Linked DNA regions of Yarrowia lipolytica. Each later gene encodes a partner of the first gene's protein in a complex. Links are inferred from orthologs where the notes say so. Each region holds a gene or a part of one and is shown on either strand. Other genes may lie near its edges. The genes, in order: YALI1_B19747g and YALI1_A01777g.

What was found.
Region 2: the proteins of YALI1_B19747g (region 1) and YALI1_A01777g are in contact, whole or in part, in a crystal structure (PDB 2Z3F), measured with the Schizosaccharomyces pombe proteins. The link is inferred for Yarrowia lipolytica from reciprocal best matches to the Schizosaccharomyces pombe genes pcf2 and asf1. Residues at the interface, in NP_594450.1 of Schizosaccharomyces pombe: Lys503, Arg504, Ile505, Ala506, Pro507, Thr508, Pro509, Val510, Tyr511; in NP_588267.1 of Schizosaccharomyces pombe: Phe28, Asp37, Leu60, Leu61, Val62, Gly63, Pro64, Ile65, Pro66, Gly68, Ile69, Asn70, Lys71, Phe72, Val73.

The regions. Positions count from the first base shown.
Region 1 is NC_090771.1:1,972,057-1,976,551, reverse strand, and holds YALI1_B19747g (uncharacterized protein), read left to right. Parts: upstream 1-1,821; coding exon 1,822-3,912; downstream 3,913-4,495. Other genes in the region: YALI1_B19774g (uncharacterized protein), read left to right, coding at 1-508; YALI1_B19713g (mitochondrial 37S ribosomal protein bS1m), read right to left, coding at 4,354-4,495. UniProt on the Schizosaccharomyces pombe protein: Acts as a component of the histone chaperone complex chromatin assembly factor 1 (CAF-1), which assembles histone octamers onto DNA during replication and repair.
Region 2 is NC_090770.1:176,285-179,828, reverse strand, and holds YALI1_A01777g (uncharacterized protein), read left to right. Parts: upstream 1-1,547; coding exon 1,548-1,656; intron 1,657-2,035; coding exon 2,036-2,724; downstream 2,725-3,544. Other genes in the region: YALI1_A01794g (uncharacterized protein), read right to left, coding at 1-334; YALI1_A01766g (uncharacterized protein), read left to right, coding at 3,211-3,544. UniProt on the Schizosaccharomyces pombe protein: Histone chaperone that facilitates histone deposition and histone exchange and removal during nucleosome assembly and disassembly.

The DNA.
Region 1 (4,495 bases):
CACCTCCGAGGAGTCAGCTGAGTCTAGCGGTGAAGATGAACCTGCTAAGGTCGAAGACTACTTCAACTACCACTGCGACTCCATGATTATCACTCGGCGTGACGAGAAACTGGTTCTGGAGCAGGTGCAGGGGGTGGGCCACAGAGACACGTGGAAGGTGTTGCAGATAGGCTACGTTGCCGGAAAGGTCTGGGCCTTACGTTTGGCACCTGATACGCTCGAGGCTGCCGCTAGATGCGTAACAGAAAAGATGCCTACCGAATTGCTGATCGCCACTAGCAAGGATGCTAAGAGCGCCGACAGTCTGAAGATTGACAACTGGACCGGCATCGACGAAGGCTGTGCCGCACTGCAAGAGATGCGCATCTTCACCACGGTCAAGGAGCAGGTTCTGTACCGTATCGAGCCCGTCAACCCCAAGCAGAAGAAGGCAGTATCAGCAGGACGAGTCAAAAAGTCTCGACAGGCGAAGAAAGACAAGTCTGCATTTTTGGGGAGCTATTATTAAAGCGGTAGTTGACTGAAAAAAGGCACATGCCAAATCAGACAATCGAGATAAGGTTGTGTGGAGTCAAATAGGCAAGCCTTGTGTCTCATGTGTACTGTAGATATTGTTTCAATCGACGTAAATGTACATATCGTATTACACAATCGAATGTGACAACCATCGTACTTGTGGAACTTATGTGTGCTGAAACCAGACTACTGTAGCTAGAGTTGTAATATTCGCCAGTTACAGGTATTATACGAGGCACACAAGGACAAGAGTTATCTTAGAGCCAGTTAGCAGTCTTATTAGTGCCTCGACAAGTCATAGAATGTCAGCTATGAAATCTTGATTGGGGACGTGGGATACCTGATAACCGCCTTCTGCTATTGAAAATTATGACATACTTATGGATACGAGCTACCCTGTAGAGCTACTTGAACGGTGCAGTAAGGCTTTGCACGGAGGAGGGGGTACAGCGGCTTCTGTGTGTGGTGTTCTACAGTGGGCAGGCACAATATGATACAAGTACATACTGTAGATTCGGTAGGTCGATGCTTGATGTATCGTACAAGGTGGGGTATTTTATTTTTCGTGGTGCGCGACTTGTGCCAAGACGTGAGCCCCATGGAATATGGGGATTCCACCTGTCAGGAGGGGGGACAGTTATACGCCAGGATCCAATAGCATCCAATTCAAATGCAAATGCAAATGCAACCAGCGGATTAGCCTTCACGATAGCCTGACTCGTGTTTTATTTTGATGGAGAGACAATGACAAAAGAGCGACACTGAACGTAGCTACCACTACGGTACATACCTTGTGATGTTCGGTCGTTTTTGGTATTCCATTGCAACATGCATGATTTAGGATGTGTGAGAGTACAAGTACTGTAGTCTTACTGTAGTTTATACTACGGCACCGTGTAATGTTGTCTTGTGAGTAGAAATATTTTCTGTTAGTGGCCAACAGCTTGTGTTGAAGCCCCTCTTTGACCCTTCCGTTCTCTTTGGCCTGAGCGACCGGGCAGATGTTTTTGGCAGATCCATTTCTCCCAACCCCCCAACCTTGCCTAATTGTTAGGACCGAGACCATAACGTCTAATTAAGCTACAGTAAGTAGAGTTTGTCCCAACATGCGAGGAGCGTCCACAGTGTGCATATTAGCTGGGTGGTGGGTATAGACTAAATTGGTGAAACCGACGACAGCAAAAAAGGAAGACAACTGGGCCGGACATTTAGAAAAAGTTGGGAGAGACAGGACTCAGCACACCAGGAAGCAACACAACCCATTGAAGACGACACATACCCGCTCGCCGGCCATTCCGCATCATCATGAAGGCCAAACCATTAACGATCCATTGGCACACCGACAGTGAGCCAATCTATTCACTAGACCTGCAGAAGGGCAAATATCATGGGGGAAGCCGTCTGGCAACTGCCGGAGGAGATGGTAACGTGCGAATATGGAGAGTCTCCAAGCCCGAGACTTCCGACACAGACACGATCGATAACTTATCGGTTGAGTATCTCGCTACCCTGACCAAGCACGAAGGAGCGGTTAACGTGGTACGGTTCGATCCCACGGGCCAACTGCTGGCCTCAGCCGGAGATGACAAGACGCTTGTAATCTGGTCGCTGGTAACCCGCAACGGCGAAATTGTGCCGCCAAAGAAGGAGTTTGGGCGGGACGATGTGGACGAAGAGTCGTGGAAACCGCGTACCCCGTTCGTTATGCACAAGCTGGACGCGAAACGCCCTCCACCGGAGGTGTATGATATTGCATGGTCGCCAGACTCGCAGTTCATTCTAGTGGGCTGCATGGACAACATTGGAAGGATATTCAGCGTGGCCACGGGTCAATGTGTTAGAGAAGTGGCCGAACACTCACACTATGTCCAGGGTGTGGCATGGGACCCTCTCAACGAGTACCTAGCTACACAGAGCAGCGATCGGTCCGTTCATATCTATGCACTCAAAAATAGAGAAGGAACGTATCTTCTGGATGCTGCTGAGCAGGAAAAGAACAGACTGGAGCTCCATCAAAAGTCTAACAAGGCAGAGCTGCCAGTTAAGAACGCGCCCTCCACACCAGTCATGTCATCGTCACAACTGTCATCAACTTCAGGCTCTCTGACGCCCTCAAGCCACCATCATCACGACATTGATGTGGGCACACCCAGCACTCCTGTCGGAAACATGAACCCTCCTTCCAGTACTCAGACACACTCGCGAAAGTCTTCTTTTAGCGGCTCCAACAGAAGCGAGAGTCCCCTGCCTTCCTCATTCATTCCTCTGCCAGCAGTCAAACCAGCGGAGTCGCCCAAGGTCAGAAACTCGGCGTTATACCAGAACGAGTCATTTCCGTCCTTCTTCAGAAGACTATCCTTCAGTCCCGATGGCAGTCTGCTCTTCACGCCAAGTGGAGTGTTCAAGTACGAAAACACAAACGCAGACACGAACACGGTCTATATCTACTCACGGGCAGGGCTGAACAAGCCACCCGTTGCTTACCTTCCGGGCCTTCACAAACCATCACTGGCAGTCAAATGTTGTCCTCTTCTCTTCAAGCTCCGTGGAACTCCTGTTGACACAGCAAACATCACTAAAGATAACACACCAGCTGGAGCCCCTAAGAATGACGAGACTGGCGAGAAAATGAGCTCTCCGGCATTCGCACTGCCCTACAGAGTCATCTACGCGGTGGCAACCCAGGACTCTGTGGTCATCTACGACACAGAACAGCATCATCCACTCGGTATTGCCACCAGCTTGCATTTTGCCCCTCTGACTGATCTGTCGTGGTCCGACGACGGCCGGAATCTCTTTGTGTCTTCTGTCGACGGCTTCTGTTCAGCTCTGACGTTTAGCAAGGAGGATCTGGGGGAGTTGTACACAGGAGAGGTCCCAGCTACCTCTACGGTAACTGGTGCTGCCCCTACTGCCACTCCAATGAAGACTCCACCCACCAGCTCAAATGAAACCCTGAGTGACAACCGGCCAAAGTTCTCGCAGCTGCCCACCGTTCCTTCCTTCACACCCACCTCCAACTCTTCGTCGGTGTTCAGAAGCATGTCTGCATCTTCCAGCCCGGCATCGGGAAGTTCTCAGATGAACATCATGACCCCGACTCATCGGCCTTTGCAAACAGTCAATGTTCCAGGTCTGTCTTCAGCCGAGTTGGACTCCATCTCCCGAGGGGCTTACGGAACTGCTAACCTAAGTCGACATGAGCGGGCCAGTTCCACTTCGTCTACAGATACTCAACGATCCGACTTTATCGCCCAGCCGCAGCCCAAAAAGAAACGACGTATTGCACCTACGTTGGTTCCTGAATCTACAGGTTCTTCTTCTCCTGCCAGTTCAACTTCGGCTCCAGCTACTGTCGACTCGGTGCTTAACAATGAGCCTCACGATAAAAAATGAACGCTACAGGATACCGGAGCGGCGCGTATATAATCAATAATTAATATGGATAAAAGAATAGATTTTGTGCTTGAGATATACAGCTACTGTACATACTGTATTTAATGGGATTGTGAGTAAATTAAGGACCTTTTACGCTTTTTTTTCTTCATTTTTTCTTCTTCTTTCAACTGTCCACATTTACTTGTATTCAGACACCGTGGTACAAGTATTGTACCTTGTGCTTGTAATATTTATACCACTGACAAAAGCGTGGATTCAGATTTGCTATCTGTTAAACCACAACCAGAGAGTCTTATTCTAAGTAGAGTCTCGCACTCGTATGTACATACCGTACATACTGTATACAGCTCACGCTCTTTCACATTTATTCATTCAAAGAGCTACTTTCCAACCATAACGACCAGGTTCAACATTTTAATTTATTTATGTACAAAGTGCTTATTTAATCATGTTGTTGATGAGGTCGGAGCTGGAAGCGGCGCGGGGAGATCGGCTTCCTCGGGGAGAGTAGTTAGTGTCTCGCTTGCCCTGGACAGTCATGACAATGTTTCCAGTCTTGCTGTCAATGGCAGAGGTCTGG
Region 2 (3,544 bases), on another chromosome or scaffold:
TGGTACCGCTGCTTTCAAAGGTGATGTTGCCTGGCTCCAGATACGGAAGAATCGACAGCGAGTAGAGAATCACGTGGCCGCCGGACGTGATGACGCCCACGTGGGAGCCGTCGCGTTTGGTGATGATCTTGCGGTTGACGCCGTACGTGTCCAGGCTCGATGCGCTGCGGGAGTGGACCGCCACTGGAAACAGTGGGTTGAGCTGGTAGATGTAGATGGAGGAGTGGGTGAGGGCTATGAGGAAAAAGCCGGATCGCGACGCCTCAATGGCTATGCACTCGTCGTCGGGCGCCAGCAGTTTGACGCTTTGCGGCGCAGACACCGGCCACGACATTTCGGACTGCGAGTGTGATAGTCGATAATGGTGACACCTATGTTATGCATGTTTCACAGTAGCCCGGCATGCCGAGCTTTATAGAGTGTGGCATTTAGAGTTGGCCGTGAGGTTGCGTCCGACTACTACGAGTCCGAGAATAGTGCCGTTTTGAGAGGGCGAAAAACGTGTTCTTGGCGCGGCTCGAGGAAGGGGCCGTGCCAAGAGACACGGGCTGATTTTTGGCACAATTATGACCACAAATGCCGTCTCAACAAGGACTCTTGCGGGTTGAAACATTGGGGGGGGGGTCGTTGTCCAATAGTCTATATACGCTATATACGCGATGTATTGTACTGTATGGTGACATCAGAGGTCGCGATATTCTGTATTTGAGAGGTTATAAACAAACGATATTGAGATGAGATAATTTTACATGCTTCTACGAGTCGATTGGTACTTTTTTCTGTCACATCCGACCTCTGGTTCGTCCCCAGCACCGAAAAGAAAGAGTCTGGAAACGCCCGATTTTCGAATCAACGATACGGCTGTCAGTTTTCAGAATTTCCAGCATTTTATAGCATGATTGCAACTATCACATATGGTTTTACCCAATAACCGATTTATATTCTTGAAAATTGCGTCGAAAGGTGGTTAAAATCGCACTTGAAGTTGGGCAACACGTGACTTGATTGGCTGGGTGTGTAGTCCCAACGCTTTTTAAACTTAGCTGTAATGGCATTTTGTCGGAGTGGTAAATCGTCTTCTTGTTGTGCGTTCGAGTCTTGGGCTCTGCACTTGGCCATTTGGTTGTCCTTTCCGAATTCTGCGGTTGATGGGCGTCTCGGTCTGAGTAATCGGCTTTGAGATTTCCGTTCTAAGATTAACTGGGAAACTTCAGTGGAGCAATCCAGCAGAGATCCAGTTGCCGTGGGTATGGCGGTGGGATCGCAACCAAGTGGTATATGTTATGGAAGATATTTACGATCACGATTTTTTGTTTCGAACGAAGGGGCGGATCATCAGACATTTGTTTTTCAGTCATTCCTAGCACGCAATCTACAATTACGGTACTTGTGCGCTCGTACTCGCTCGTACTCTCACCGTCAATTCTTGCACTCACGCGGTTCACTTGTCTTAAAGTTTGCTAAATTAAAAGTGACGCGTCTTACGCTTGCCTGTACAATCTTTTCTTCCTACTACACACACACGAGACACATCCGTCACAATCACAATGTCTATCGTTTCGTTACTCAACATTGACGTTCTCAACAACCCTGCGCCGTTCGGCAGCCCCTACGAGTTCCAGATCACCTTTGAGTGTCTCGAGCCTTTGAAGCATGGTGAGTAGACCGGGGAGAGCGGTGGTAGGCAGTGCGATGGCCACATGGAGGGCCACATGGAGAGACACATGGAGAGCCAGTGGCAGAGACTATTCCAATCTAATTGACGTTGGATTGATGTCAAGTTGTTGATTGGTTCTTTTTTAGGTGCATTGATCGGGAGTTGTAGGCTGGTGGATGAGGCTGTCATAGGGGTTCATGGAGTGTCTCCATCTCAGCATCTATCCAAGTGTTGGTTGAGCATCCACCAATGTTGATTGAGCTAATCAGCAATTGTCCATCAGTTGATGGGGTTGAGATGGATTACTATTCCTGGTTCATCAACTGGGTCCTCAAGGGCTTCGGTTTACGAATGTCCCAATATCTCTTACTAACACAGACCTCGAATGGAAACTCACATACGTTGGTTCGTCCACATCTTTCGAACACGACCAGGAACTCGACTCGCTTCTGGTGGGCCCGGTTCCCGTTGGAGTCAACAAGTTCGTCTTCACGGCCGACCCACCCACAGTTGACCTGATTCCCGCGTCCGAGCTGGTTTCTGTCACCGTCATCATTCTGTCGTGTTCTTACAACGACCGCGAGTTTGTACGAGTCGGATACTACGTCAACAACGAGTACGACAGCGAGGAGCTGCGCCTCAACCCCCCTCCAAAGGTGCAGGTGGACCATGTGGTGCGAAACATTCTTGCTGAGAAGCCCCGGGTGACTCGATTCAACATTGTGTGGGACAATGAGGGCGAGCAGGGCGAGGAGTTCCCTCCTGAGCAGCCCGACGCCGACCTTGAAGACGATGAGGAGGAATATGGAGCGGGAGAAGAGGAAGAGGAGGTTGAGGAGGAGGTCGAGGGAGAGACTGAGGCTGACGCCAAGGAAGACATTGAGGCTGAGGGTGAAGCGGAGGCCGAGGGCGACGGCGACGGTGACGGCGACGGAGAGGACGAGGATCTCGAGGAGGCCTCCGATGAGGAGATGGAGGTTGTGGATGATGAGGTTGGAGAGGAGTCTGAGGGCGAGGACGACAAGGAAGACAAGGACGACAAGGACGACAAAAAGGACGACAAGTGATTGTACGGTAATGTATTTATTTGTATTAATAGAATGATGAATGTTAGTAAGCAGAAATCCATCTTATACAGCGTTTGCATGTTTCAAGCGGCCCCGACCAAAACAGCCACTCCCAAACATTGCAGCCCTAACCGCGAGACGCGGGCTCTCACCCTTTAATTAATTTGGCAACTTTATTACGCGTTGCTAGGGGGTAACCGTGGCGGGGTTTGACGGGGCGATTGTGCGACGATAGACGGAATATGACGGAAATTTTGAGATATTTGTGAATTTCCAAGCTCTCGGAGGTCACAATTACCGACTCCAATCGTTTCATTCACCCGTTGCCCGGTTGTATGGTGTGGTGTTCGATCGTGTATTCTTTTTCAGTAAACTTTCTACTTGTCCCGAATAGGAATAGTAACGAACGCGTGTGCACACTTCCTCCCAGTGCGAAAAGAACTCTCATCAACACCTCACCACACCCCCCGCCACACAAGATCCGCAATGTCCTTCGATACAGGAAGAGTGTATTCCACACAAGTGCTGCCCGGCGACGACGACCGGGTCGAGGACACCAACGTCGGACTCACCCGCAAGTACGCCGACTTCATCCGCGAGTTCTACATTGACGGCAATTTCATCTACCGAGACCAGCTGCAAGACAACATTCTGGGCGGCATTCTGACCATAGAAGTGGACATTGCTCATGTCCGAGCGTACGATGGAGATCTGGGTCAACGGCTGGCGGACGACCCCACCGGAATGCTCAATCTGTTCCAGCTGGCTGCTGCCAACGTGGCAAGACGACTAATCAACCCTTATATGGATGAGGCAGACG